Linked DNA regions of Alligator mississippiensis. The protein of the gene in region 4 interacts with the protein of the main gene of each other region in a pairwise test. Links are inferred from orthologs where the notes say so. Each region holds a gene or a part of one and is shown on either strand. Other genes may lie near its edges.

Evidence for each region.
Region 1: the proteins of TUBGCP4 (region 4) and SDSL interact in a two-hybrid assay, tested with the Homo sapiens proteins (2 studies listed by BioGRID and IntAct). The two-hybrid records come from large-scale screens. The link is inferred for Alligator mississippiensis from reciprocal best matches to the Homo sapiens genes TUBGCP4 and SDSL.
Region 2: the proteins of TUBGCP4 (region 4) and PAK5 interact in a two-hybrid assay, tested with the Homo sapiens proteins (2 studies listed by BioGRID and IntAct). The two-hybrid records come from large-scale screens. The link is inferred for Alligator mississippiensis from reciprocal best matches to the Homo sapiens genes TUBGCP4 and PAK5.
Region 3: the proteins of TUBGCP4 (region 4) and FBF1 interact in a two-hybrid assay, tested with the Homo sapiens proteins (2 studies listed by BioGRID and IntAct). The two-hybrid records come from large-scale screens. The link is inferred for Alligator mississippiensis from reciprocal best matches to the Homo sapiens genes TUBGCP4 and FBF1.

Annotation. Positions count from the first base shown.
Region 1 is NC_081833.1:25,867,750-25,875,457, forward strand, and holds the start of SDSL (serine dehydratase-like), read right to left. Parts: upstream 3,094-7,708; 5' UTR 2,986-3,093; intron 281-2,985; 5' UTR 263-280; coding exon 95-262; intron 1-94. UniProt on the Homo sapiens protein: Catalyzes the pyridoxal-phosphate-dependent dehydrative deamination of L-threonine and L-serine to ammonia and alpha-ketobutyrate and pyruvate, respectively. Also exhibits racemase activity towards L-glutamate and D-glutamate.
Region 2 is NC_081824.1:223,326,493-223,334,508, reverse strand, and holds the start of PAK5 (serine/threonine-protein kinase PAK 5), read right to left. Parts: upstream 3,047-8,016; 5' UTR 2,873-3,046; intron 1-2,872.
Region 3 is NC_081831.1:13,306,858-13,314,389, reverse strand, and holds the start of FBF1 (fas-binding factor 1), read left to right. Parts: upstream 1-4,462; 5' UTR 4,463-4,703; exon of another isoform or gene 4,704-4,781; intron 4,782-5,430; 5' UTR 5,431-5,549; coding exon 5,550-5,552; intron 5,553-6,818; coding exon 6,819-6,846; intron 6,847-7,532. UniProt on the Homo sapiens protein: Keratin-binding protein required for epithelial cell polarization. Involved in apical junction complex (AJC) assembly via its interaction with PARD3. Required for ciliogenesis.
Region 4 is NC_081834.1:441,212-448,191, reverse strand, and holds the start of TUBGCP4 (gamma-tubulin complex component 4), read right to left. Parts: upstream 3,051-6,980; 5' UTR 2,997-3,050; coding exon 2,919-2,996; intron 2,829-2,918; coding exon 2,676-2,828; intron 944-2,675; coding exon of another isoform or gene 940-943; coding exon 817-939; intron 302-816; coding exon 248-301; intron 1-247. UniProt on the Homo sapiens protein: Component of the gamma-tubulin ring complex (gTuRC) which mediates microtubule nucleation.

The DNA.
Region 1 (7,708 bases), on a different chromosome or scaffold from region 4:
ACTCATGGCACATTACTTATGCCACCAAAGGCTGCCAGATAACAAATGTCACTACAGGGATATTGGAACTTACTCATCCCTATGTGATGCTTACCTCCTGACAGAAGTAGCCGATGCCTCGTATCTTGAAGGAGCCTGATGGTTGGACGTTCTCCATCTTCATGAACACCTTGGTGCCTGCAGCCTTTGACAGAGCCAGGCTCTCCAACACAGGAGTAACCACATGGAACTTTCTCCCATCTGTCTCCACTGGTATTGCCATCAGTGCCACAGCAGACACCTACAGATGGACAAGGTATATGCCAAGGCAATGAGAGAAGGCTGGAGAGACTAGAGGTCCTATGTTACTCTGGGTTACACCAGCGTAGATCTCCCCTGACTGGAAGTTAATGGAGCTATCTTGAATTTGCATTGGCATAGGTGAAATGATCCAGCCTACAGCTTTCATTGAACCACACTCAGAGAAGGGCACAGGAAAATCTAGCAGGGTGAAATTTGCTCTTTCGGCTTGGCCATGAAGTCAAACTGACAGCAAGAGCAAAGTCTGGCTTAAAATCTCCCTACATGTCCAAAGCTTATTGCTAGCACCTTAGAGATAATGACCAGATTGCTGTGCTGTTCTGCTCTAGGTTACTCCATGCCAAGATGGTTCAAAATCCCCTTGAGAAAATTTCATCCCTGAATAAGAGACAAAGGGGTTTCTTCTGTGTTCACATGTGCTGGGGCTTTTGACATTGCCTTGTTCTCAGAGTAGTTCAATGCAGTTCCTTCTGCTTTTCAGTTTCACTAAAAGGCAACTTTAATCTGCCTTTCCTTAAGTGCAATTTCCAGCATGGAGGGCCTCACCAAGGGCCAAGGGATTGTTGGGATATGGCTGGTGGTTGGGTTGATCTTTGGGAGAGGAGCTTCTCATGCTGTGTAATGCTGCTTATAGAGATCAAGCAAACTTATGTCATTGATGGAGAGTGCATCTGGGCCCTTTTACACAGAGATCAAAAACATACTAACAGGAAACTGGATGGAAGGAGAAAATACTGGTGATCATTACAATGAACAAGAAGCTTCACAAGTCATGGCAACATACTGGTTGCTCTGCCTGTAAACTCAGGAGGAAATACCACCACCACAGACAGAAGACTATTTCTAACACTGGCTTCCAAATCAGTCCGCCCACCCAGGGATCTCTTCCTCCCCAGGGGAAAGTCAGGCAGACAGGTGGACCTGAAGGCTCTTCAGATTTAGACACTAGCAAACTCAGGAAGGAAATGAGTCCCACATCCAGGCTTCTCTTCCAGAAAGCATGCCTAGCTGCCACGCCACGTCCATGTATTGCAGGTGGGGGTGATAGCTGGAGCATTTCCACTAGGCTAAAGTGCCTCAGCATCCTAAAGGGAAGCCTCTCTAGCACTGGGGTCTCAACTACTTTGGACTTTCATGATTAAACCCAAATCCTTAGGCTTCCCCCAGGCATCACTCAGCTGACAGTGAAGTTCACAAAGCATGGACCTGCTGCAGGGCTGCTATACAGTGCACTAGCTGTTCCAGAGGTCTGAATGTGCTGTCTCTCAGACACCCTGTGGCAGTGATATAAATAGGGGATGTGAAAGGCACAATAAAGGAGACCCAGCCCCCTATAACTGCAGGAAAGGACTCAGCGTCTGTGCTCAGTGCAGGTGATAAGGAACACACTTGGCAGGTGCTGTCACCTGGGAATCCTAAAGCAGCCATGGATGCAGTAAATGAGCAAACCTTGGAGACAGGTGATGGACTTATTATATTTATGCTAGGCACTTACACAGCCTCTGCAATGCCTCCTGGCCCATCCTGCAACACCTTTTGCCACAGCTCTGCCCACCTTGCTCCATGTTAGACACTGGCAGCCTGATTTTCATTTACTCTGTTCCTGTGCTGGGAATAGAAATGATGCAAGGAGAACAGCCTAAGCTACCTTTGTAGTCCATATACTCAAGGGCTCCTGGTGTAATTTAGAGCAAACTTTGAGCTGCTCTAACATACAGCACTTTCCAGAGCCTCAGTGGAAGCAAGAAGTAATACAGTGCACTTCAGCCACATCCTCTCCCTGCCCCTAACTTGCTTCCTATCCCATGGCCTGGAAATAAGGTTACTGTAAAGCCCTCATGCCAGTTCCATGCCAACTATTGCCATGCCTGCCTCTTAAGACATTCGTATGCTACCAGAGGAGCAGAAAGAGAATTGGCAAACTGGGATTTGACCCTTTGGCAAACCCCAACAGTGCTCCTGAAGAACTGGAAGCCCATCTGCCTGCCTGTCTGATCAAACCTCTCGCCAGAGCATCAAGGTGATTTTTAAATAAATCAGAATGTCATTTTTACTGGAAAACAGGGCACCAGCTCCCACCTCCACCTCTGGGATTTCCTTTCTACCCAAATCAAGGATTCTTCTTCCTGAGCTGCTCTCTATATTCTCCAGAAGGCAGATCTGAGAGCACAGCATCACGCAGCAATAAAAGGCGGCTGCAACCCATGCAGTCTCCAAATATTCAGAGTTCCCCAGATCAGAAGCTTTAACTAGGTGTCAAAGGCTTGACCACCTGAGGGCTGCAGAAATAGAGTAAAGATCACTCATTTCTCATTTACTGCCTCCAAGGCTCCCACCCCCACTTTATACTGTGCTCCTCCATACTCCAAAGTAAAGCTTTCTCTTATATCTCTCTCCAACTCCAGCTGCTAGGGAAACAGGACAGTCTCCTTTATGTGCAGGAGAGACCGTCTTGGTTCAGGGAGGGTTGAAAATATTAGTCCCTGAAAGAACCAGGCTGCAGCAAAACAAGTGGCCTGGAGACACCCCCGGAAGCAAGCACGGGATTGGCTCCTGGACTTCAAGCACTCCAAGCCCTCTTTAGCGATGTCCCCAGCTGCTTTGACTGTCAGCAGGCTTGCATAGTGGCAGTGACTGTCCCTGGGTTTTTGTTCTGCCTGCAAGCTTCCTAGTAGGAATATTTACCTTGATTCACGCTGAGCTTTTTCCAGACCCCAAGGAAACAACTTCCCTGCACACAGAGATGGAAAGGAGTCAGTGACCCGGACCAGTGCACAACAGAGCAAAGTTGAAGAATGGGAGGGCAGGAAGCAGAGTTAATGAGAAAATGAGAGTGATGTTAAAGAGACATTGTCAGATTAATGAGGCCACTCCTGCCCACAGAGTGATCCACCCACTCTGGGTGCAAACAGCACCCCAAATAACCAGGACTGGATGAGACTACAAGAAAATCTGTAATCTCGTAATGTTGTAATATCTGTAAAATCTGTAATATTGGGATGATCTAGTTGGGGATGGTCCTGCTTGGAGCAGGGGACTGGACTAGATGATCTGAGGTCCTTTCTAACCCTTGTTTTCTAAGATTCTATGATTACAAAATATTTCCCTCTTCTCCCTGCACTCTCTTATTCCACCTTTTAGGCATCTAAGATTAGATGCATCTAGAGTAGGCATCTAATCTAAGTGGATTTAGACATCTAAGTGAGATCCTATTCCACTCTGCTCAATGCCTGAAAAACTCTTAATGTAAAAGGTGGTGGAGTCCCCCTCCTCCTTCCTGCTTTGCACGTCTCAGTCTGAAGAGTCAAATGATGGGAAGCTACAAAAGCAGATGCATTCATGGATTTTCAGGGACTTGAGCAAGGTGGAATAGGATTTCATTTAGTCACCAAAATCCATTTAGATGCTGAATAGGTAGAATAACATCTGGCCCCAGATCCTCCGGGATTTGTAGGCACCTCATTTCCTCAGGATCTAGCCCTCTTTGAAATGAATGGGCATTAGGCACCTAAAGACTCTAGAGCATTGGGGGCCAACCTTTTTGGCAGGAGTACCACAAATTAGCCCCAACACCTCCCTGAGTACCACTCTACTCTGTTTCCCTTACCCTGTCAAATCAGGTAGGCTGCTGCTCTGCTTTCTGCTCTGTGCTCCCTGCCTGATTTGATGGGCTGCTTTCTGTTCCCTGCCCTATCTGCCACTGTGGTACCTGCCCCCAACCCCAGTCTGCCATGTGCCACACACAGAGGCTGTCAATGCCACTTGTGGCACCTGAGCCACAGGTTGACTACCCTGCTTTAGAGGATCTGGTCACTTTTGAAACAAGACTTTGGCTTCTAAGTCACTTGGGTGCTTTCATAAATGTCTATGATACCTTCACTATGGCTATAGCAACTCATGTAGAGGCAGCCTAGAGAGCTCTACACTGGCAGGCTTGGATTCTGCTAGCAGTGTAGCTGTGACAGCACTGGGCTCAGGTGCAAAACCATCCAAGAAGCTGGGTGAATAGGCATTATGCCCAAGCTGAGCACATGCTGTTGCTGCTACATGGCTAGCAGGACTCAAGCTGGCTAGTTTAAACTTGATGAAGTAGGTCTGGGCAGACTGCAACCCCTGCAATGCAGATGTGCCTTAGCTTTGGTCTTCCATGTACTAATGGGGAAAACCATCAGAAAATAGTATTTTAAACAAAGACAATTGCCCTGCAGCGTGGTCTAAGGTAAAGCTTGGAGCTTATTTTGTAAAACTGGCTGGGCTTCAGCTTGAAGTTTCCCCTTATATGATTACCTGAGTGCCATGTGTAATTCATGTAAGTGTCCACGATCCCTCCAAGGGATACCCTTGGTTTTAACAGATGTATTGTGATTCCTGCAAACTGAGCTTTGTGAGAAAGTGAGCAAGTCCTTGGGCTTAGCTTGACTCTTGCAAGGCTATATTATGACTCCACCTCTCAGCATCAGGAGATAAAATGCTCTGTGAGAATACAGACAGCCTGGCTTTGAACTACAGACAGAGGATTGCAACAGACAGAGCATTGCTCAGGGCGGTACCTGGCCCTTCACTGCCAGGAAGCCAGAGCTCCCACCTCACCCACCCCTGCATCTCCTGCTGCTTTCCAGACATGCATAAAACACCCAATCTGCCTCAAGGTCTAATAACTTTAATTTCTTCTCTGCTGGGTCTCTCTCACTGCTTCTGTTCAGTTGTTGTTCTATTGCCATACCATGGAAGCATTTGGAAAGAAGGATGCACTTCCCACTATGTGCAGAAGCTCAGTGGGAGTCTCCCACTCAGACATCCCTGGAATGTTTGGCAGCAGTCCATGACAGAAAGATTTTACATGCAGATGTACTTAACCCTAAAACCAGTGTTGCGTGTGGCATGCATATGGACAAAACCAACTGGTATATGCCTGGCTGAAGAACTGCATATACAAAATGGGCATGGGCACCCCGACACAAACTGGGGTGGTGATGGTGTATAGACATGGACATGTAAAAACATATGTGCAGTTGCCACGTGTATACATGTTTGCTAACACAGAGCTGCATAATGATATGCATGTCTCCATGAACAGATAACCTTTTAGTAGGTACATAATAAGCAAGTGCAATTTAAGCACTGAGTTTTAGAAATTTCACTCTAGCCATTTAAAAACACAGGGTCCAAAATCCACTAGTTGAACCCCAGCAGCCTCTTTCCTGCCCCTAATAATGAGAGTCAAATTGAAGGGAGCAGCTCAATGGCCACTGATATATGCCTACCACCAAGACCTGGGCACAGAGTTAGCTGACCAGGACTGTGGCAGACACCCCAAGCTGTATTGTCTGGGTACTGACTTCACAGGGGGATGTAAAGACCACTCTTCCAGCTACTATCAGGGCAGCCCCATGTTGACTGCTTATATGTCCCTAGTACTTTACCTCTTTGGTCTTGGGTCAAAACAGCTTCTAAGACAGAAAGTTTAAGCACCAAAGAGTTCATTTATTATCCTGAAATTGAAGCCAATGACCATAGGCTTTGCAAGCAGACCTGTATTGCTCTGCTGCAGCCTACAGATCCTCATACTCCCTAGAGCTGAAGAACACGCTTGGTACTATAGTCTGTGCTACATCTATATATGTCACCTAAAACAGTGTTAGCGGCTAATACAGTTGTTGCCTTGAGAATTTCTAAGTGATCCACATATGGCCCTTTTCCCCAACAGGAGAATGCTTTCTTTCTCCATCTCCACTAATATGAGACCTAATAAGGTGATGTCCCACAAATCCTTCCCTTGCCCCAATAACCCTACCCAGCATGAGATCAGTGAAATACAGGATACAGTAAGGATAATGCAAAGGTAACTTTTGTGTCATGGATGTGCCTTTACCACAAAGTTAGCCAACCAACAGGCTTTTAGAGAAATCTGTTTGCACGTGCTCGGTGGAGACTTCTTAGAGTGTATCATGGTGGTTCCTAGACTTTTTGCAGGGCAATCCCACTTCCAGACACACCGCCCCACTTGTAGACTCTGTCTGGCCTCCGCTAGTGAACTTCTGAGGGGATCTGAGCTAGCTTATTGAAAGCTACTCAGCACTGCCATCTGCCACTAAAAGCGCTATTCTGAATAGCTTTTAGCACTGGCCAAATCCTGCCGCCACTGAAATCAATGGGAGCTTTACCACTGACTTCAATGGGATCTCAGTCAGACCAGTGCTGAGAGCTTCAGAAAAAATAATTTCATCTTGACTGGCTTGGCTGAGGTCTCTTAAGAAAGTGAGCTCAGTTCTCCTACTGCCCGGACCTTAACCCTTCACTTCTTCTCTGGAGTTGAGTGGCATGGGTAGACCCAGAAAAAGAAAATTATAAGAAGAATGTTTCCAGCTGCCTCCCACAGGCTTCTAGTATTTTCTATAGAGGCAACTCACCCATAGCTCTCCAGCACTCAGACAAATCAAAAAACTTCGAGCACAGAAATGAAAAGTGTGTGGTGGGCCAGCCTTCAGAAGACCCAAGGGCCTGACCTGCTCCCAATGAAGTCAGTTGCGAAACCTTTGGACCAGCACAGGATCAGGAGCAAATATTGATTCAGGCTCTTCAGCGCTGCATCCTTTAAATGATTATACAGTTTGTCTGCTGAGTGCTGGCCCATCCTTGTGTTTCCCTGCAGGAGGGGGAGTCCTGTTCTCTACCCAAGCTCCAGGGAGGTTTCCTGCCAAGATTTGATTCTTTTTCCCCCAGTCACCAAGGGAGAGCAAGGGCTGGCACAGATAAATGCAAGAGCCCCTGATTCCCCTTCCCCCTCCAGAAGGCAGACTCAACACTGACTCACCCCTGCCTAGCATGACACTGTCCTGCCATGCTGCCTGGGGAGGAAGGTGTCCAGAAGTAGGCATCAGGGGGACAGAGCTCACCACTGAAAAAGAAGCTAAGGAGACTGGCTATAAGAGGGAGGAGACCCCCCAATTCCCCAGGAGACCCTCCAGTCAGCACTAAGCAGCTCCCACGCTGCACAAGAATTATCCCATTCACATGGCAGGTGAGAGCTACTGCTCTCCCCCTGGTAATGTGTTTGGCCAGCTCTATGAGCCAGCCCTTGCTGGGGTGAATTAAGAAACAGAAATTAGACAGCAGATCCACCATCTTGGCCTTATTTCTCCTCCTGAGCCCAGACAGCCCCCACATATTCCAGCCCCTGCCTTGGCACATGGGATAGCTCCAAACCAGGGAACCCCTCATGTCCTGCTTCTTGGAGACCAGACTCTCCAAGAGTCAGGTGAAAGGACAAGGCCAAAGAGTGCTAGATCCCCATGGTCACAAACCCAGGCACGCTCCATGCACGGCAGTCATGGGCATGTGCCTTCCATTTGATGAGCACTGTAGCTCTTAGGTTCCAGCTTCCCTAGTTTAGGGCTAGAGTGCATGT
Region 2 (8,016 bases), on a different chromosome or scaffold from region 4:
GTAATAATTTCACATGTAAACCTGGTGATGTTACATGGTCACAAATGACAAGAGAGTCTGAAGCAGGGATGGCCCATGTACCAGATCAAGCCACCGGAGCCATGTCATCCAACGCACAGAACTCTCCACTGGTCTGAAAATTTGGCAGGGGAGCAGCTGCCACTCCCTTGATGCCAAATTTCTGGACACAGGGGGAGCGCCACAGGCCACATAGTGTGGCCCCAGGCACTAGATCAGGTATGCAGGGAGGCAGGGGGAGTGTGGAGCACCAGGGCCTGATTTGAGCATGTTGGCCTAGGAAGTATAGGGGCTAATCCCCAGTGCACAGGGTCAGGCAGAAGCAGTGTGGGGCACCAGGACCCAATCCCAGCACATATGGCTAATCCTGTCAGCCAGTGGCCAGTGCAGGGCCCAATTTGGGTGTTACATGGGCTGGTCAAAGCTGTGCAGGGCCTGATCCTGGCACGTGGGGCCCGCTCCAGCCCTTGAACCAACTGTGAGCCACATATCTGGCCTGTGGGGCCAAAAGTTTGAGCACCACTGGTCTATAAGATTATGAATGGGAAGGGAGCTGGTTCATGGGACCACTTTGCATGACCACTACTATGAAAGAAGGAAAGGTAGAGATTCTGCCTTTGCCTGACTTCAGGCTAACATAGCTCACTATCTTTCAATGAAAACACTGAGAACCTCTGAATTAGCATGCATATCTCAAACACCTATTTGAGCAAAGCAGTCCTCGCTCATACACTTTCTTTCCATGATTCAAAGGTAATGAAGTAAAAAGATGGCTAAACCCACACAGAGACAGTTCCCAGCCTTCTATCTGTCTATAGTGTAAAACAGAGCATTTGCAGGCATAGTCACCCAGATTTTCAAATGATTAAAGCTTCAGTGGGGAAGCAATTTTGGGGCGATATCTTAAAGTAGTTCAGAGCAACCTTCCTCTGAAAAACTGAGCCAAGCATGGAAAAGCTGGGACACTCAAAAACACTAGTCACTTCTAAAAATCCTCAGTCATTATTCAAACCAAGTAATGAATTTTGCAAAGAACTCAAGAGCCTAACCTTAGAGCTTTGTTATAACAGCCCTTGATGTGCTTTCTTGTATACAGCCAGTACCTTTTCAGTTGTTCCACTCATACACATTTTTACTTATTCGAGGCTTTTCTGGGGCAGGAAATAAGTTAAACATGGGGGACAAGGTTAGGATTCTTCAGATATGTACTCCTTCTCTGTGCACCTCAGGTGCAGAGACATCTGCCAGAGGAGGTTTACAAGCTACAGCTCCAGAAACAATACATTTTCACACTTCCTGAAAAAGAAAGGCAAAAACCCTCCCTTTCCCCTTTAAGGATCATTGTCTTGAAGCACTTGATACCATTTCTTTGCCTAGTGCTCTCCTTGTCAAGTTGTACTGTTGACTAGCTCAGACTTTCCAGTGCCATAGCAAGGTCAGCTGCCATTTCATCCACCTCGCTCCCCCGCCCCCCCCCCCCAACAGGGATAAATTATTCAAAGGAACCTCAGGTATTTTAAAACTCTATAATAAAAAGTCTCCCCATCATGCTAAGTGACATGCATTTATGAAATGAAGCAACATGAGTGGAAAACATTCAGAAGTCATGTCTTCTCACCAAAGCAATTAAACAATGAGAAATGACATGAAAAGCCTTGAATTCATTTTTTAAAGTCAGCGTTATCAAAGGCGCTCTGCATTATCTGCTATTGATTTGATTGGCACCGCTCCCAGGTTTCCTGCCTCTGCACCGCGTCTCTCTCCAAGCGCTATTCTGAGATTGGGCTCTTTGTATGGCATTTCATGCTGCTGCTTACAGTCTAAGCACTCACTTTAAAAACACCTTTCACCAAACTTGCTGTTTAATTCTGCCAGGTCACTGCTCCCACTTTCCTGTCAAGTGAACAGACCCCGGGTACCGACAAACATATGCCTCTCCCTTCCCATGTCCGGACACTGCTCTCTAGAATAGAACTTGCCATCTTGGAGCTGTCCCTCATACGATCCTCTCCGAGGGGATGCAAAACAGTGGGGCTGTGGCCAGCCCAGCTCCACAACCCTGTTTCCAAAGGGTGCAAAAATCTGGAACATCGATGGGCAACCGCATCCCGAGCATACCCTCGCCTTACACAAGCTACCGTGTCCCACCTGTGCCATCATCTTACACAGGCATTCACATCCCGGCTGTGCTCTCGCCTTACCGGTGCAACCACATCGCAGCTATGCCATCCTGCAAGGGTGACCGCATCCCAGCCATGCCCTCGCCTTACATGGGTGATCGTGTCACCTTACATGGGTAACTGTGTCCCACCTGTGCCATTATCTTACACAGGTGACGGTGTCCTGGCCGTGCCCTCACCTTACACGGGCAACCATGCCCCTGCCATGTCCTTGCCTTACACGGACAACTGTGTCCAACCTGTGCTGTCCTCTTAGATAGGCAATCATGTGCCAGCCATGCCCTCACCTTACAGGGGTGACTGTGCCACCTTACAAGGGCGACCCTGCCCCTGCCATGCCCTCGCACTACGGGTGCGACCACATCGCAGCTATGCCATCCTGCATGGGCGACTGCGTCCCGGCCGTGCCCTCGCCTTACACGGGCGACCGCATGGCAACCATGCCATCCTCCAGGGGCGACCGCGTCCCGGCCGCTCCACCGCAGCGCGGCCCCTGGAGCCTGCCCCGCCGGCCCGGAGCGGGGAGAGGGCGCGCAGGTGCCGCTCCGCAGCGCCCACAGGCAAGGGCAGGGCGGCTTCCCGGCGGCCCACACCCCGCGGCTGCGGGCACGGGGCGCAGAGAAAGGCGGCGCCGGGCGCGGCAAGGGGTGCTCCGCGCCAGCCCCCGCGCCTACCTGACGACGCTCAGGCGCTCCCCGGCCGCATCCCCGCGCTCACGCCGCTCGCAGCGCCATGTTCTCCCGGGCCGGGGGCTCGGCCGGCTGCTGCCGCTACATCCGGGCTGTGCCGCGGCCGGAGACGCCCGGCGCCTAGAGGGGCCGCGCCGCCTGCCGCGGTGGGCAAGCCCGGAGCCGCCCGCCCCCTCCCCACGTGCAGAACAAAGCCGGCTGCTCCCGCCCTCCGCGCTCCCGCCCCGCCCCGCCCCGGCACTGCCAGCCCCTGCTCCGGGCAGCCGCGCCGCCGCGGGGGGCACCCGGCTCCCCGGCCCCCGCCGCAGCCAGCAGCGGCTCTCAGCCTTGTTTGGCACCAGGACACCTCTGGAAACGTGGATGGGCAGTTGCTACCCGCTGCCCCATCCTCTAAACCAGGGGATCTCAACCTGTTTTTGTACCAGGACCCACCTATAAACGTGGATGACCAGTTCCTACCTGCTGCCCCATCCTCTAGACCAGAGGGTCTCAACTTTTTTTTTGGTCCCATGACCCATTTGTAAACGTGGATGGCCAGTTCCTAGTTGCTGCTTCATCTTCTAAACCAGCAGGTCTCAACCTTTTTTGTACCAGGACCCACCTATAAACGTGGATGGCCAGTTCCTACCTGCTGCCCCATCCTCTAAACCAGCGGGTCTCAATCTTTTGTACCAGGACCTATTTGTAAAGATCCATCCGAGCCGCTGCCCCCCAGTGTGTGGGGCACGGGGAGCCCCCCAAGCAGCCCCTTGCAGTTGGGAGTCCGCGAGGGAAAAGCCATTTTTTTCTCCTTCCAAGGAGAGCCCATTTTTTAAGTTTGTGGATCCATTTTTCAAGTTTGTTCACCACCCTTTCATGTATCTGTGCAACCCACTTTTGGGTCATGACCCATGGGTTGAGAAATGCTGGGCTCTAAACTCCCCTCAGCCCTGACACAGCACAGACCTAACTCCCTACACTGCTGCAGGTAAAGCAGCAGACAGCCAACTTCCTGCTTTTATAATATATTGTCAGTATAAGCTCCCCTCCGTCCCCCTTGCTCTCCCCAAAAGACAGTGGCCGGTACAGGTGCCTCCTGGCCCAGTTGGGGGCTCCCCACCTCCACCTGGCAACTTCCCCCATCCCCAGCCTGATGTGCCCCCGAGTCACAGGATCAGGATGATGCTGGCTGCAAAACAGGATTGTCGGTGCCGCGGTTCCCCTGCTTTACCTGCTACCAGGTAGGGGTTAGGTCTGTATAGTGTCAGGGTTGAGGATGCTATTATGCAGTTTAGATCAGCAGTTTCCAAATGGTGAGTCACAATCCCAAATGGGGTCACAGCATTAGTGGATGGGGTCATGGGGATGGAGGAGCTGTGGGTCAGGAGTGAGGGACCATGGTGAAGAGATGGAGCCATAAATGGGGTCACACTGGAAACATTTGAGAAACACTGGTTTAGATTATGGGATGGTTTACATAGGATAATCCTGCCTCAGACAGCGGGCTGAACTACATGACCTCTGGGGGTTCCTTGCAGCTGGACTTCTCTATTACCCCAGAAACCATTATTGTCCATCAGGGTCCAGTCAGTATTACTAGTGTGTGTTGGGATAGAGGTAGCCCCCTACACCCAGGGCCAGGTCTTCATTGTGGGTGGTTTTTAAACAAGGTGCCTCTGCCCCCTGGGGTGCCTTGAGAGCCTTTCAAGAGTGCCACGGGGTGCCACGCAATGCTGGCACTGTCAGATGTGCAAACATCCTTCACAGGATGAAGCAAGAGATTTCAAATAGGAATCTGCAGCGTCAAAAATTCCCTGCCCCGTTGCAACTGTTGCAGGTGTTTGAGTTCTTAGCAGCAGGGGAATTGCTCTGTTAATTTTTCTGTAGTCAAAAACACAGTGAAAACTGGCATTTTCTGAGGGGAGCCTCAGGTCTAACGAGGGGTGCCTTGGGGCTAAAAGAGTCAAGAACCATTGTGCTAGATGCTGTGCAAACACAGAAGGAGAGAGCTGGTCTCCCTCCCCAGAGGGTTTAGTTTAAGACTAGAGATGACAGCAGGTGGATACAGACAGATAAGGGAGCCCAAGGAAGAAGAGAACAAATTTTGCTCCGGTTCACTCTGCCATGAGAATGGCACATACATGAATCTGATACAAGACGCCACAGTTATACTGATTCGCAGCCTGTATTCTGCTGGGCTCCGTGAATTTTTGGCTGCAATCTTCTCCCTCAGGTCTAGGATAGGTCTATAATGCTTTCCCAACTCCCCTGAGGAGCTTCATTCTTGAGCACGCCTTACTCCACCCACTGTGACATGCATAGACCAAGCTTAGAAATGAGGGAAAGACGCTGCTACCAGGGTTCCTTCTGCTACTGCACTTGAGCATACTGGAGACATACCAGAGCGGGGGAAGAAGCATATGACTAAACTTAAGGAAGCTTCTCCTTGTCAAGTAATACAAATCTGACCATGCATACTCTATATGGACTCAATACCCCCTGCATTAATTAATGAAAAGTCACACTCCTGCATGGTAGGTGCCACAATGAGCCAAACTGCACCATAGCCAGGTGCAATTTGGTAGTTACAGTATCAAGCTCTGAGCCTCACACCATGGCCCAATGGTATTCCATGGTTATGCCAGAAGGAGAAGGTGGATGCCCTTGCTCCAAGGGCACTAGCCCCCACACTAAGGCCTAGAGAACATCTTCAACTCCTAGCGGTAGAGTGCCTGCGACACAGTCACACAGCACTTTCCTTCTAATAGAGGGTACCCACAGATACTTTCCAGATCAGTGGTGGACAAACTTTTTGGCAAGCATGCCACAAGTCTAAAGTGTCAGACAGAGCCATTCTCATTCTCAGTACTGTCATTGCCTAGTGCTGGTGAATCCCTTCACCACCAGGATATGGCAACACTGAATTTGGTGGCACCTAGCTGTGCAGCTCCCGCCGGGCCAAGCCCAGCAACATTGACCCTCAACTGCTCCCCAGTGCCAGCATCCCTGTGCCAAACACAACAGCTGCTTATGCCACTTGCGGCATGTACGCTGCAGCTTGGCCACTAGTATACCAGATCTTTGCGATACTTGACCAATTTTACAGACAACCTGAGGCATAGAAAAATTAAGTAAATCATAGTTTCATAGCACAATAAAGATTAAAGGGACCTCAAAACATCATCTACCCCAGCTCCCTGCTCAACTCTGTCTAAACCCCCACCAAACAAATAATCCTGTACTTGTGTCCTCCTCTTTAACTCTAGTTATTTGCCATTTTGAGAATTTACAGAATGTACTATTAGGACAAGAACAGTCCACTCCTAAGCTTCCTATTGTAGGAAATAGGTACTCAAACATGTCCCTGAGGATTTTGGGGAAAAGTTCAGAAAACACTCGCCTTTTCCTTGTAAACTGTGTGCACTGTTCACAAAATGTATTTGACAAAAGCCTGTACTTTTCTGAAGACGGGGGCTGGGAAAACCAGGACTGTCACACCATTACAGAGTCACTGCTACAACTAGGTAGAGAGATGGTAGAGACTTGCTTGCCTCAAATACCTAGCAAAAATGCCAGTTTAAAATGCAAGAGGCCATTGAAGAATTGGGATTTTGGATATAACAACAACTTCGAGCCTGTATTTTTAAATAAAGTATACAAAAACCCCTGTTTTTCTTGCCATATGGTTCCCACATTCTTTTCTTTGCTGTTAGTGTCTGTTTTATCAGACATAAAAAACCCTTTAAATGAACATGTAGACAGACATTGTAAAGGAAATGCTAAAATGTGTAGTTTGTTCTCACTCAACTTTAAATTCTGAGAGGGTTGCTCACTGCTTCTGTGCTTGCAGCCCTTGCCTGGTCTATGATGGATGGTGGCACCACAGCCTTGTCATCTGCTAGCTCCTGTTCTTTGTCCTGCCTGGCCTAGTTCCATTGCCTTCATTTCAGACAGCAGACCTTGCACTTTGCCTTTATTCTCATCCTGGTCCCTACTCCTGCCTTCTGTTCCTGTACTCACACTATCTGTGCCTGGCAACTGACCTTAAATTCAAAGAATCCTATGACGGAAACTAATTTTTAACAAAATGTGCAGTTAACTTGCAGAACTCATTGCCACAAGATATCATGGAGGCTGGGAACTCTATTGAATTCAGAAAAGAATAAAGCTTCCAAGTGGATCATGAGAACATATCGCTAACTAGTTATCATAGAGCTGCTTATTGTTGGTTTTAATTATCGATTGACACATTCTTCCAAAGCTTCTACTTCTGGACATTGTTAAAGCTCTTCATATATGATCTCCCATTGTTTTAAATATCTTGATGGTGTTTTAAATGTTCTTTTACCCTAGGTATCCTTACATGAATTTTAAAGCAGCTGATCTAATATGCATTTTCATTTTTGTAAAATCTCCCTGAGTAATGGATAGACCCTTGCAATGAAGTCAACTAACTAAACAAATAGAAAGGAAGCAATCAGAGAAACATTGTAAAAAATATATCCATATAATGCAATTGGGGGGGATATATGTAATTCAGATATAATGTTGCTTGTAATTTATGTCTGACTCTGAAAGCTGTCTTAGCCAACACCATATCAAAATATGCCACAAAAAAAGATTAAGATTGTTTTAATAAGGGTCCATAACATTCCAAATGTTTATCAGCAGAAATATCTATTGTATGATATCTGATTTAAACTCATTAATCATACTCTTGACAGTCACTGAATACCAGATGCAAAATCCTTTTCAGTGGAATGTAAAATTTTTTGGGAGGAAAAACTGCAAGTGCCTGATTTATGCAGCCTTATGTAAAAGGATGGGTCATCACATATTTAACAGGCTAGAACTGAATGTGATTTCTAATGCATTTCCAGTACTGTGAAATAGGGACTCTGACAGGAACATCTCAAAGGTGTAAGGTGGGGGTACATTAGAGCTGTACAAGGGCAGCTGTGATTGCTACAGGTCAGTTTTGCAAGCCGAGTGAAAAATTCCCGTAACTGGTTTGCTTAGTGAGCAATAGACACATTTGTGTAATTCCTCCACTAGCAGCAATCACCATTCCAAACTCTGCCATTTTGCTTTCTCAAGGAGGTAATATTACTGATACAGTACATCATTCTCCACTTTCTTCACTATGCCTA
Region 3 (7,532 bases), on a different chromosome or scaffold from region 4:
TTAAATTCTCTGGTTTCTTGCTCTTTGCAAGGAGACCTGGTCTGGAACCAGGCTTCATTGGTTAAGAGAGTTCTTGGGCTTTTATTGTAGCTCTGTGACACCTAACACTTCAATCCCCACATCATGACTCAAGTCTGCCTGAGCACTACATTCTCTGTCTGGCAGGAGTTCCCACCCTTCCTTCTCTGCATCAATTCTAGCCTCTTGCAGCATCTCTGAATTACCCCCTTATGGAGCACTGCCTCAATCAAACCTATCCAGGAAGCTTTCTCTAGGAAATTCCATTATTTCCTTCCTCCCCCTGCCTTTCCAACACCCCCGTCGCATATCCACTTGGCACCTCCAGTCTTTGAGGTTTCCAGTTGATGGCTAATCAAAAAGGAGAATACAGTGATACTTTTTTTTTTAACAGAAAAGTAAGGGCAGATTTCAGCTGGGAGCAATTTATTGGGTGTTCCGCCATCGTTTTAATCTCTAGCATTTTCATAGCACTTAGCTGCAAAGCATTTTACAAACACTAATGTAATAATTTGTGGTGAAAAGTCACCATTTGCTGGCGGAATTTGCAAAAATGACCTATGACAAAGCCAATATTTGTGAACAAGAATTGGTTGGGTTGGGTCTTGTTGCCCCATTCAGCTTTATCTGTAGTATCCACAGTGGTGTTGCATGCAAACAAAAACCTCTCTCAAGTGGAGTGCCTGCAGTTCTGCTTCCTTTCCCCACCCCGCCCCATGTACTTCTGATCTGTTTAAAAATTGTCCATTTTATACTGAATGAAACTTGCACAGTTGATTTCTGTATTAACAGATTAAAGATTTAGCTTTTAACAGAATTTTGTGTTCCTCTCTGAATCTGTGCAACAAAAGACAAAAAGAGCTTGCTTAGGTTTTGTTTTCTATTGACTTTGTTTGGCTACAGAAACTCCCTCTCTCCCCACCCCCAATCGATGAAGAGCAGCTTTGAGGTTCAGGACCTCCCCTTAAGGTAAGCCGGAGTCCTGTGGTTCAGAGGTAGAACTGAGAATCTGGTTCTGGTGATCGTTTTAGAACATGTTAAAGATGCACTCAGGCAGCATTTCTGTTGGGAGGGTTTGTAGCACCTCCAACAAGAGGACAGCACTGGGCATTAAATCTAAATGAAATGCTTAGTTTAAAAAAAAAATAAAAAAATCCAATGAATAGAGGTGCACCGATACATCGGTCTCATATCAGATCGGCACAGATATAAGGAACATTGACGGCATTGGCAGTCTGTTTTTTTTGGCTGATGTGGCTGATAATGTGGCCAATAAATGCCCTGTGAATGTGCACAGCTGCAGCGCACCACGCAGGCAGCCTGAAGCACAGCCCAGCAGTGGAAAGCAGCCGGGTCTGACTGACAAGTCTGTTGTGGGGGAAGGGGAGAGGGGCGAGGGAAGGGCCATGTGGGGGGTAGACCAAGGCTACGCCAGTGAGGGAGGGAGTGGGGCTGGAGCAGGGGCAGGCGCTGCACAGAGGGGACCTCAGTCCGCCCTTCCCCATAAGACTTACCAGCCAGATGCTGCTCTCCATGCTGTCTGGCTGCATATCGGCAATAAGATTGGTATTGGCCAATACGGCTTGTTAAAAATTGACCACGAGCATCAGCCCAAAAATTCTCTATTGGTGCACTCTACTAATGACAGTTCCATAGTTTTATAGTTGCTAGGGTCAGAAGGGTCCTGAGCAGGTCATCAAGTCCGACCCCCTGCCATGGGCAGGAAAGGATGCTGGGTCAAACGACCCCGGCAAGGTGATTGTCTAGCCTCCTTTTGAAAACCCCCAGGGTAGGAGCAAGCACCACTTCCCTTGGAAGTTGGTTCCAAATCCTAGATGCCCTAACTGTAAAGTAGCGCCTCCTGATGTCTAGCCTGAACCTGTTCTCCGTCAACTTATGGCTGTTATTCCTTGTTACGCCCAGTAGTGCTGGGGGGAACAGGGACTCTCCCATTGCCTGCTGGTCTCCCTTGGCCAGTTTATAGACAGCCACCAGATCCCCTCAGCCTTCTCTTGTAGAGGCTGAACAGGTTCAGGTCTCGTAGCCTCTCCTCATGGGGCCTGCCCTGCTGCCCTCTGATCATGCAAGTGGCCCTCCTCTGGACCCTCTCAATGCTGTCCACATCTCTCCTGAAGTGCTGTGCCCAGAACTGGATGCAGTATTCCAACTGTGGCCTGACCAGTGTCTCATAGAGGGGGAGGACCACCTCCTTGGACCTGCTCGTGATGCATCTGTGGATGCATGACAAGGTGCAGTTAGCCTTCCTGACTGCATCCCCACATTGGCAGCCCATGTTCATCTTGGAGTCTATAATGACTCCAAGATCCTATTCTGCCTCTGCGCCGACAAGAGGGGAGTTCCCCAGCCTGTAGGTATGCTGCTGGTTCTTTCTCCCTAGGTGCAGTACCTTGCACTTGTCAGTGTTGAAACCCATCTTATTCTCATCTGCGCACTGCTGTAACCTGTCCAGATCCAATTGCAGCCTGTCCCTCCCTTCGAGCATGCCCACTTCTCCCCGCATCTTAGTGTCATCTGTGAATTTGAACAAGGTGCTTTTCACCACCTCGTCCAAATTGCTGATAAAAATGTTGAACAGTGCAAGCCTGAGTACCGAGCCCTGGAGGTCCCCACTGCCCACATCCCTACAGGTTGAAAAAGACCTGTCCACCACCACTCTGGGTGCGGCCATCCAGCCAATTGGCGACTCATCTGACTGTGTAAGCACCGATACCACAATCTCCTAATTTTTTAACAAGAATGGGGTGAGAGACCGTGTCGAAGGCCTTCCTAAAGTCCAGAAAGACTATGTCCACCATGACACCTGCGTCCAAGGATTTTTGTGACCTGGTCATAGAAGGCCACCAGGTTGGTCTGACAGGACCTGCCTCTGATGAATCCATGTTGGTTGCCCCTACGCATACACTCCGCTGCTTGCCCCTTGCAGATATGCACCTGGATAATTTTCTCAACAAGCTTCCCCAGGACCGAGGTAAGACTAACAGGCCTATCATTTCCTGGGTCCTCCTTCCTCCTTTTTTGAAAATGGGGACCACATTGGCCCTTTTCCAATCCTCTGGCACCTCGCCAGAGCACCATGAGTGCTCGTAAAGCTGCGCCAGGGGTCCTGCAATGACCTCTGGTAATTTCCTCAGCTCTCTGGGGTGGAAATCGTCAGGACCTGCTGATCTGAACATGTCCAGTCCCTCCAGAAGTTCCCTGACTAGGTCATCTCTGACCCTGGGATTCCGGTGGGGGAGATGACCTGGTCCCTGCTCAGAAAAATGGAGGCAACAAATTGTTAAATAGGTTAGCTTTGTCGTCTGGTGTGATGACCAGATTTCTAAGCGTGTCCTGCAGAGGCCCCATGTTACCCGGAATGTTCATTTTCTTCCCTATGTATTTAAAAAAGGACTTCTTGTTATCTTTGATCCGGGTTGCTAGTCCCAGTTCCATCTCCGCCTTGGCCTTCCTAACAGCCCCCTTACAATCCTGAGCAATGGAGATATAGTCCTCCCTGGTGATGGCCTGTCCCTTCCATTGGGTGTATGCCTCTGGGCCTTTTCCAAGGAAGAGCCCAGACCCCTACAGATTGATCCAAAACAGAAGCAAGAACCAGCTTCAGATGCCTGAGCAAGTGTGCTGAATGCAGGTGGGGGATTGCGTAACTAACCTCCTTCACACGTCTGTGAGGAAAGACATGGGCAAGGAACAAAGAGCTCCGCCCTGCATAAGGCTACTGGGCCTTGACAGCTCTTGCTCTTCCAGCTCGGCTCCTCCACGTGCCAGTGCAACAAGTTTGGCTCCTTGTCTTTTGAAGTAAACACCTGCCTCTCAAGCACTGCCCTGGCAGCTCTGGTGCTGTTTCAAGACTAACACAGCTACAACCTACACCCGTTTCAAGACCACGCTTTCTCTCTGCAAGTCCTTAACATGTCCCAGGATTACTAGGGGTAACACACAGGCAGCCCCTGATGCCCCAGTCTGAAGAAATGCTTCACCCACTGCAGCCAGGAAGGGGGAGGACTGTGGCCCCTTGTCCACCAGCTTCCCTGCAAGCCTCTCCCCCCCGCAGGACTCCAGCCCAGGCTGCTGAATGATTTGCTCAGCTGTTTGGAGTAGCCTTCAATTCTGTATGGGGGGAGGGGCTCCCCGGTGGATGCGGTGACTACAGCAGAGGGAAGCTGTCCGTCCCAGTTATCACCAGCTGCACGGGTGCTAAGAGCCAGCCTAGCCCCCACGGGCGCCTGATCTAATGCGCCCAGGGGCCCGGGCATGCGCAGTACGCCTGAACCACTGATTGGATGCCAGCCCGCCAATCACCTGCCTCAGCCCGCGACCTGCCTCTACATCCGGTTGGGCCCGCAAGGGGTGCTGGGAGTTGTAGTTCAGGGAGGAACTACGTCTCCCGGGAGGCTCGAGGCTGAGCGCCGAGGTGGGAGCAGTTGCTGTGGCAACCGCGCGGGTCCGCCCCGGCTCAGCCTGCTCCCGCCGGGGTGCGCGGCGCGGGCTGCAGCCTCCGCCCGCAGGAGACCGGGGTTTTCTCCCTGCCCCCGCCGCTCCCGGCACCGTTCCCTTCGTCTCGTCCTGGGTCCGCAGTTGGGCCTGACAAGTCATTAAGACACAAAAACCGACCGCGGACCATTCACGTCCCGGCCTCGAGCCTCAGTTGGCAGCACTGACCCAGGGTGAGCTTCCCTTCAGCCTGCTGGATGCAGAAAATCATGGACACTGGATTTATGCCACGTTATAACCTGACTCCGCAGGTACCTCTCCGCAGTTCATCATCCCCCCACTCCTCAGTTTACATCCTCACCGACGGCCTTTCCTGGCGTGCAGACCGGCCGCCGGCCTCTTTACTATTCGTTCCCTCCAGGAAGAGCTTCCTCAGCCTGACGAGGGGTATTTATACCCGCAAGCTTGCAAAGAAGAATTTTTCCAGCGATTTGAGTCGGTCTAATAAGAGATATCAGACTCACCCAAACAGCCGTGTCCGCCTGAAACCGGGATGGTGTTTCTTACCCCTTTCGTGGGGGTATTTGACCGTCTCAATGTCTCTGAAACATTCAGGGGTCGTCCCATCCAACTCGCTGCAAGTGCCAAGCGCTTTTCTTTCTTTTTTTTAAAACCAATCTGCCCTTGCCTCCGTCTAGGTCAGCGCTTCCCAAACTTCACCTCGGCATGACCCCGTTTTCCTCAGCGTGGCCCCTCGTTCCCAGCTCCCCACCCCCGCAACCCCATCCACTGCTGTTGGCACCCCACTGGGGGTCGTGACCCACGGTTTGGGAACCGCTGGTATAGAGAGCGGTGAGATGGAAAACTTGAAAGGTCTTGGGTAGAAAGGGAAGTCGGCTGCGCAGCAATCCTGCTGAATGTGGAGGTTGAAGCAGGAAATCTTGCTCTCTCTTTCCTTAGACCAACCGGGCTTGAATCGATTGGGTCGCGGGATTACGTTGTTAAACCGTATCTGGAGGTGGAGACTGAATGACTGTGAGCAGAAGCCCACGGAAGAAAGGACCCCTGCAAGCCGTGAGATGGTGAGTGTGACATGAAGGGGCAATGGGTAGAAAAGAGTTATGAAAACTAGAAACAGAAACGGGCAGACTTCATTGCTGTGATGCCCTAAGGCAGAGGTTCCCAACCACCGGGCCATGGCACAATACCGAGCCACAAAGGGTTGGCTGTCGGTACGCAGTTTGCTGGTCCACAGTCACTTCCAGTCCACAGTTTGCCAATCCACAGTATAAAAAAGGTTGGGAACCACCGTCCTAAGGCAGCGATGATTGAATGCACCACTAGACTTTTGCAAATCCTGGCTGTCTAGTTAGCACCGAGCAGGGACTGTGCTTGCTACAGTTACTTATGGTAATCTTCAGGAGTATGCGGGACAGATTCCATTATTTCATGCATCATGTCCCAATTGGCCTGGGAAGCTTTCCCATATTGTGTCGGGATTGTACAAGAAAATCTGACTTTCACTTCAGTAAACAACAGGGATCGTGGTGGACGTGTCATACCTGGTATCGTAAGCCACCCTGAGGCTTTCTGGATAGTGCGGGACATGCATCTAAATAATGACAATAACAATAATGTTGCATCTGGGCTGGCTTGCCTAGACTGAGTTATCTAACGTGGTTCTACGATACAGAGAATTAACAGGGCAGTGATTCTGCTGCTCTGATCAGCACTGGTTAGGCCTCCCCTGGAGTACTGTGTCCAGGTTTGGGCCCCACACTTGGAGAACGATGTGGACAAATTGGAAAGAGTTCAGTGGAGGGCAACAAAACTAAGTGATTACAGACCTGGGTAACATGACTTATAAGGAAAGGCTGGAAGAGCCAGGATTATTTAGCTTGAAGAAGAGAAGACTGGGAGGGGGGGTGGCGGAGTTGATAGCAGTCTTCAAAAACTGAAGGATGATTATAAAAAGGATGGGAATAAACTGTTCTCCATGGCTGTAGGGGACAGGACTAGGAGCATGGTGTCAAACTGCAGCAGGAGAAATTTAGTTTGGAGATTAGGAAGAACTTTCTGACTGTGAAAGTGGTCAAGCATTAGAACCGGCTGCCTAGAGAAGCTGTGGAAACTCCATCCCTGGAAATTTTCAAGAGCAAGTTGTGCAGACCCTTGGCTGGGTTGGTTTAGTTGGGGATGATCCTGCCTTGAGCATGGGGTTGAACTAAATGGCTTCTTGAGGCCCCTTCCAGCCCTATGATCATCATGCAGGAAAAGTCCTGTTGGATGTGTCTTGCTTCCGGTGCTTATTATTTTTGTAACAAGCCAAAATTTATTTTTTTCCTTAGGCTACAAAACCGAAGAAAGGCTTAAAAGGTATGAGCCCTCGTCTGCACCTCACTACCCTTAGTCTGCTTGAGAATAGGTGGGTCAAAACTGGGGGTGCTCCTGACAATCATAGAAGTCCAAGGTGGTGAATCCTGGCTAATGATTCACTTCCTTGGTTCAAAGCCATGTCAGACATGCAGAGTGTTAGTATTGCTTGAGTCAAATCATTGCTGAATCAGCATTGAATGTCAGCTACCCCAGTGGTTCCCAGCCTTTTTTATGCTGCAGACCAGCAAACTCACTCAAAGAATACTGGCGAACCGGGTATAGAAACAATCTAATTTACATATTTAAATTTATTTTTTACATGGAGGGAGACAATGGCCAAAAATCATACGTACACATCACTAGCTGGCTAATGTTAGCTACCTAGCTGCAGAGGATACACATAGGAGACAAGCCAGACATTAGTGGTTACAACAGTCTCGCTGATAGGGAAGTGACTAGCCACAGTTACCACGGTCCAATTTCAAAATCTAAAGTCACAGTCATTGGCCAAGCGGAGGATATTTTCGCCCAGCCAGTCATCAGGGCATGGGTGCGGCCTGGGCATAGAACTGTTGCTAGCAGTGGTTAAAGCTCATGCCGTGACCCGGCAGCCAACCCTTCATGGCCTGCTGGTTGGAAACCTCTGAGCTACCCCTCAAATCAGATGGATATGCCTTTTCTTAGGC
Region 4 (6,980 bases):
GGTGACATATGTGCTACCAGCTACTGCAACCTTGCAGGAAGGAAACTCTATTTCTTCTTGCAAGCTTAGGTCTAAAGGGTAATGGTGACATTGATGCAACTTTAAAACTCAGGAGATAAGTACAAAAGTCAGGTGGTTGGAAAGATGGGGGTCTAGCAGCAATGCCAAGCTCTGCAGCATTACCCATGTTGTACCTATGAGTATTAAGGTGCATAAACCTGAAGCCTCTAGGTCCTACGCAACATACCTGATCCAGGGAATAGTTAACGTGCGAGATGGAGAGATGAGGATCAGCCAGGAACTGCAACAACAACAGCAGTTAGCACAAACTGAAATAATCCACAGCCTATGAGAAGGTAAGCGAGAGCGAATGGCCTGATCACAGCTCACTCCACAGACTTTTGGGCCATGTCCCACTTCAGGCTGCAACTCACAGTGAGACCACTGACTCAGTGACCCCACCTGAGAGGTTACATGACCACTGCTATCCTGGCCATGACAAGGGGATTAGTCAAAAATCTTCAGAGCTAAAAGCATGGATCACTACAGCTGGAGCGACAGAGCCTTGCCCGGGCACTGAGGGAGCCCTCCCATGGATGAGGAAGTCAGTGACACAGAATACGCTGACCAGTAGTGACTGCACTTGCAGTAGCCATTTGGAAGACATCCCCAAAGTGAAAAGTGAAAGTTCCTGTCCTGTCCCTGGCAGCTGCTTGTCAGGCTACTCGCCATACAAGAGGCAGGTTCCCACTGCGCCAGAGTTCAGGCTGCAGCACTTCCAGCGCCCAGCCACACGCACGGCCACCTCCCTCTTACCTCTTGTTCCAGGTCAAGCAGTGCCTGACGATAGGGCTGCAGCACAGAGTCAAGCCCCGTGCAGAAGGCCCGCAAGTAAATCCCATGGAGCCCGCTTGGGTTCTGCTGGGATGGGTGATGGTCCTGCAATCAAACAGGAAAGTCTGGATTGGCCCCAGGCAGGTCTGGATGGTGCTTTAACACCAGCCCAGTGATCCAAGTTACAAACATACCCATCTCGAACAACCGCAGCAAGTGCCAACAGAACGGACAGGTTACGAGATGGTGCTTGCGCTGGCAAGGATGGAGCAGACCTAGATTCAGTCCCCTCAGAGACACTACTCACCACAGAAGAGGCAGGTGCCCACTGCAAGGCAGTCCGGAGGCAGAAGACCATCTAATAAAGGTGGCCACTAACATGTTGCTGTTATTTGGGGCAGCCACTGAAAGAGGCACATGTATGTAAAGCACTTGCCACAGCCCCACCAGCCTAGCGGGATGGGGAGCACCCTCGAGTCTTGCAAAGCCTGTCCAGTCTGAGCGACTGCAAGTTGTTGTTCTTCCCCAGGTGAATTAGGTTTGCCTGGTAGGGGCTGCAGGGGCTTCACAAGCCTTTGCTCTTCGCGCTCGTGGTAATTCTCTCCCTGCTGCTCTCCTTCCCTCTCCAAATTAGCCTGATTGCCGTGGGTAAGACAGTACTGCGCTAAGGCAGACATCGCTACGGAGAACCAAATGGAAGTGACCGCCCACCCGTCAGTACGCGATGTGACCGACGGGGTCAGCAACGCTGAAATGTCCTAACGAGGGGCCCGAGGCCGTCGCTCAGCGAGAGCGCTCCGCCACAGGCATCTCGTCAGACGACAAGCTTTTGTTTATGTCCAGTGCGTAGCTGACTTGTGGCAGGGGAAGGTATGAGCAGCTTGGAGAGGAAGGACAGGTCCGTTGGGAGCTATTAGACAGAAGTCAGGGCTGCCTCCTCTGACCTCTAAACCAACGAGGGAAGGTGACACGGAGAGGATCGTGCCCCGGCCATGGGCTCTCCCTCTAAAGCACTTACTACCTGCCCCCACCGGAGACTGCTGTATTTGCTACGCTGTAACTGAGCTCTGCCTTGCTGGGAACCACGTCCCCCCTCGGCGGCCAGAGACACCACGAGCTGCGCAGCCCATTTCTTGACAGAAGAAAAAGACAGAACAGAAAGAGAAGTAAATCTGCGGGTTAATAACCAGGCCCCAGAGGAAAGCACCAGGCGGAGAAGAACAGACCGGTGTCCGCTGCTGCCCGGGAGCGCCTGGGGCTGCAGACGCCGTGCAGCGAGACTGCCCGGGGATGTGCCAAGACAAGGGGCCGAACGGCGGCCCTGCCGGCGCCTGGGCCCGGCCAGCCCGCGGCTCTCGGCCGGCCCACGGAGGAGTTTGAGCGGACGACCTGGGATGTCAGAGGGCGACGCGCCGGGCACGCGGGCAGAGCGCAGCCAGGACCCCAGCGAGGGGACGCGGACCCCAAGACAGCCCGGCACGCTCCACTGCCGCGGGGCCCGGGTCTGCCGCACCGGCGCCTGCACCAGCGCGCCCGGCCTGGCCCGGCCCGGCCCGGCCCAGGGCTCTGCGCCGGAGCTGCCGACGCCGCCTGCCTCCCCGCGGGGCGCGGCCCGAGCCAAGTGCAAGCTGCCCGGGGGTCCCTGCTCCCCGCCCGGCGCCGGCAGGGCAGGGCAGGGCAGGGCACGCACAGCCGGCGGGGCGCTGCGGCACGGCCCCGCGGCACTGAGGGGGCAGGGGTCTGGTGCCAGGGCCCGGCCCCGCCGATCCGCCTCGTGCCCCGCGCCCAGGGCGGGCGGGCGGGCGCTGTGGCGGTAAACCCGCCTGGCCGCGCGGCCCCACCTGCTGCTGCTGCTGCTGCTGCTGCTGCTGCTGCACGTGGCCCGTGTACTGCGCCACGAAGTCGGTGAAGCGGAGGTAGTCGGTGCCCAGGCGGCAGAGGCGGCTCAGCACGCCGGTCTCGCTCGGGTGCAGGAAGGGCAGCTCCTGGCTCACCTGCGGGCGGGCGGGCGGGCGGTCAGGGGCGGGGCGGGGCGGGAGCGCGGCGCGGGCGGACGGGGCGGGGGGGGGGCGGGGCGGTGGTACCTGCAGGCCGCCCCGCTTGCTCCACGTGAAGGCGGCGCCCGGGAACCCGCTCAGCGCCAGCAGCAGCTCGTGGATCATCCTGCCCGGGGCCGCGCGGCATGCCGGGAAACACCGCCCGCCGCCAAACAGGCCGCCCGCCGCCGCGGAGCATGCCGGGAACTGGAGTCCCGCAGACCGCAGAGGCCGCTGGGAGCCGCGGAGCATGCTGGGAAGTGGAGTCCCGCAGGCCGCCGGGAGCCGCAGAGCATGCCGGGAGGCGTGGCGCGCGGGGCGTGGGCGGGCGCGCGAGGCGCGGGCAGCCGTGGGCGCGGCTCGCCCAGGAGTCTCCTCGGCCAGCTCCCTCGGGACTCCCGGGCGCGAGGCGGCGAGGAGAGCTGGGCGCGCTGCGCCTGGTGCGAAGCCGGGAGGCCCGGGCCCCGCGTGCGCTCGCTCCGCGCGGAGCCGCGCCGCTGGCAGCGCAGGGAGGCGGCCCGGGCGCTCGTGGAGCTGGGCCGGCTCCTGCCCGAGCGCTCGCCCTCCGGCCCTTCCTGGCCGCCGTCCCCCGAGCCCCCGCCCCGCCGCGGCCCACGCCCTCGTCCTAGTCCTCGTCCTTCGAGCTGGGCTTCGCGCCTGGCTGGCCCGCGGGCCGGCAGTCTGCTGTGCGGGAGCCGCCGGCCCCGGGCGGTCGGGAGCAATGTAACGGCACAGCCTGCTTTCCAGGCCCGCCCGCCCGCCCGGGGCTGAGGGTGCACACAGCCCGCCCCCAGAGGCAGAGGCGCGTGGCGCTAGCTGGGTGGCGGGGCCCGGCTGAGGGCCGGGGCGTCGGGGTAGCTCCCCGTGTGCGGCGCGGGGTCGGAGGCAGGAGGTGTTGGGTGAGCGTCTGCGGTCTGTCCCCGCCTCGTGTCCCCAGCGTCACGGTGCAGACCTGCGCCTTCCCTTTCCTTTGCTTCCCGCTCGGTCTCCTCCCTGTGCGCACACGCGACTCCCACAGCAAAGCGGCGCCCACGGCGCTGTAGTCTTGCCACCCCCCGGTTTCAGGGTGTCGCAGCAAACGTGGGAAGCGGTCCAGCCTTCCCGCAGCTCCGACGGCAGGCGCTCAGCGACGGGACGCAGGGCTCGTTCCAGCAGCCGCCACCTGGCAGCACTGACCGCTTCGGCCTTGCCCTGCAGTCTGAGGGCAGACAGCTGGGGAGAAGGGGTTGTCCAGCCGATATCGCTGCTCAGCCGCACGTGTGAGTCTCATAGTTACTAGGGTCGGAAGGGACTTGAACAGATCATCAGGTCCGACCCCTGCCCTGGGCAGGAACGAGCGCTGGGATCGTATCGCCCCAGCCAGAGCTCTAGCCAACCTCCTCTTGAAGACCCCCGAGACAGGGGCGGGCACCACCTCCCTCGGGAGCCCATTGCAGAGCCCGGCAGCCCCGACCGTAAAGTAACGCTCCTGATATCTAACCTGAACCTGCTCTCCGTCCATTTGTGGCCACTATTCCTTGTTATCACAGGTAGTGCTTGGGGATACGGAGCCCTACCTGTTTTCTGCTCGTCCCCCCGGTGAGTTTGTAAACGGCCACCAGATCCCTCAGCCTTCTCTTGTGGAGTAGCTTCAGGCCCTTTAGTCTCTCCGCGTAGGGCCTGCCCTGCTGCCCCTGACCATGCGGGCAGCCCTCCTCTGGACCCTCTCCGTGCTGTCCACATCCCTCCTGAAGTGCGGCGCCCAGACCTGGACACAGTACTCCACCTGCAGCCTGACCAGTGTCGCATCGAGGGGAGGATCATCTCCTTGGCCCTGCTCGAGATGATGCATCTGTGGATGCACGACAAGGTGTGGTCGGCCTTCCTGACCACTGCCTCACATTCGCGGCTCACGTTCATCCTGGAGCCAACAATGACTCCAAGATCCCTTTCAGCCACTGTGTTGTTGAGAGGGGAGTTCCCAGCCCGTAGGTGTGTTGCAGGCTCCTTCTCCCTAGATGCAGCACCGTGCACTTGTCTGCGTTGAACTCCATCCTATTCTCATCCGCCCACATCTGTAACCTGTCTAGATCTAGCTGGATCCTGTCCCTCCCCTCCCCTCCCCTCCAGTGTGCCCATGAATGAGGGGTGCCGCCCATGGGCAAGATGTTGCAGGCACCGGGCAGAGCTTCGCAATGTGCAGGCACTTCCAGAGGGTGTGTGGTATTGCAACCCACACTGTGGGTAAGAGGGAGAAAGTGTCCCTGACTGCCCAGTGGCAGCTGTGCTGCTTCATCCTGAACCTGCCTGGGCATGGCCCAGCATTTTGGCCTCTGGTGCCCTCATCCTCACCCCTCCCAGAGGGGTAGCTGTGGTGCCTGCTTCTACCCCCACCCTGCCCTGGGGACGTGGTCACTTGTGGGGCCTGGGCCATGGCGCCGTCTATGGCTGGCAGAGACTTGCCATAGGTGCAAGTGGGACCAGTGGGTGGGAACGGGCAACTGGTGAGCCCTGACCTGCCTATCCCTGCTCCCTTGGCTGTGTCCTGGCCTGCACTCGCCAGCTCCTCCCTGGAGGCAGGAGGCTTCTGCACACCCTGGGCCCCAGCCCACAGCCCCGCAGCAGTAGCACCACCCAGCAGTGAGCAGCAGCCAGGCCGGGCTGTCCCTGGTGCTCGTGCTGGTGCTGGTGCTGGCTCCGCTCTGGTCAGGTCCGACCTGGTTCCGTTGACTCCGTGCACGGCCTCTTTTTCCCTGCCCTGCCCTGCCCCACCCCACCCCTGCCAGGGCGGAAGGAGGTGGCACCAGGAGCAGCTTGGTCTTTGATCCATGCTCCTGGGTTGCTGCTGCATGTGCCACCACTGGATCAATCATGCTGCTGTCACCTGTGCTTTCTGGCCCTGGGAGCATCAGGCCTTGGGACAGCTGCAGCTCTGAGATAGGTCTCCCACACCTGGGCAGAAAGTTGGCTCCCCTACGGCCGGCTTGCCATTGTCTTCGGTGGCTGGACTGGGACAGGGGAAAGCAGGTGCAGCTCCAGGGGGCTGGAGACAAAGTGCCTTGTTTTCCTAATAGGTGCCCATCAGTTTTGGGGTCTTGGTGTCCATTTTCTAAGGAATCACAGGGGCTCGGGTACAGAGAACAATTCTGACCAAAATGAGCTGCCGCAGTCACTACTCAGCCATGGCCTGTGAGTCACCTGCTGTGTACAGAGATAACAACATAGTTCATTTCTGTGGGCTGCCGTCAGAGAGGACCTCGGTTACCTGCCCCTGTGCGGAGTCACTAGTATAGTTCACCTCTCTAGGGCAGGATCCCACGTGCCACTGGAGTCAGCCTGTTGCTGTTTATAATCGCTCACAGCGTCAACATCAGGGAGCATGGTAAGAGCTGCATGAGAGAGACCGCGATTCTGGTTAGTAGGAAACCTGAGAAATGGGGTAACTTGTCAGAGTGATTCCTGGCTGGGCAATGGACTTGAGGTAATGGTCCTGCAAACGTATCCTGAATTCCTGGGGTTTGGGGGAATTTGTCTTGAATTCTTCCTAAGAAAGAGCAACATTGATTCCTTCTTCTCCTGGGGCATTAGCATTCAGCCAAGCCTATGATGGTTAAAATTCATCCCCGTGCAAGGGTCAATGCCAAAGCACCGCTTTCTTTCTATTTTGTCATCTTTTCATAATACTGAAGGGTGATGAGCCTCTGTGCTGGTTTTCAGTTCAGGGGTGAATTTTATTCTTTCTGAATATAGCTGCTGTTGGAAGACTTACTCATTGCTGTCTTTGCTTGGATTTCTAGCAAGGGGAGAGAGGAAAGAGGAAGCGCTGCATTCAGAAAAGATCTCATTTCAGAACTGAAATACTGTCCTTACCCTTTACTGGTTGATGTAATTTGTTAGCTGAAGCTGTAGTTGCTGTATCAAATGAATTTAGTAATCACTATGTATTCAGCACAGCACAGCGCACAAAAAATTGGCTCCCTGCTCTGAAGGGTTTCACATCTAAAGACACAGGCACTGTGGAAAATCCGGAGGTGGAAGTGTAACTTGGACAAGCAAACCTACTTCTTGTGGATACTAGGGAAGAAGCTGGTTTTATTAACAGGTTAGTGGGACCCCACCTCACTTCTTTTC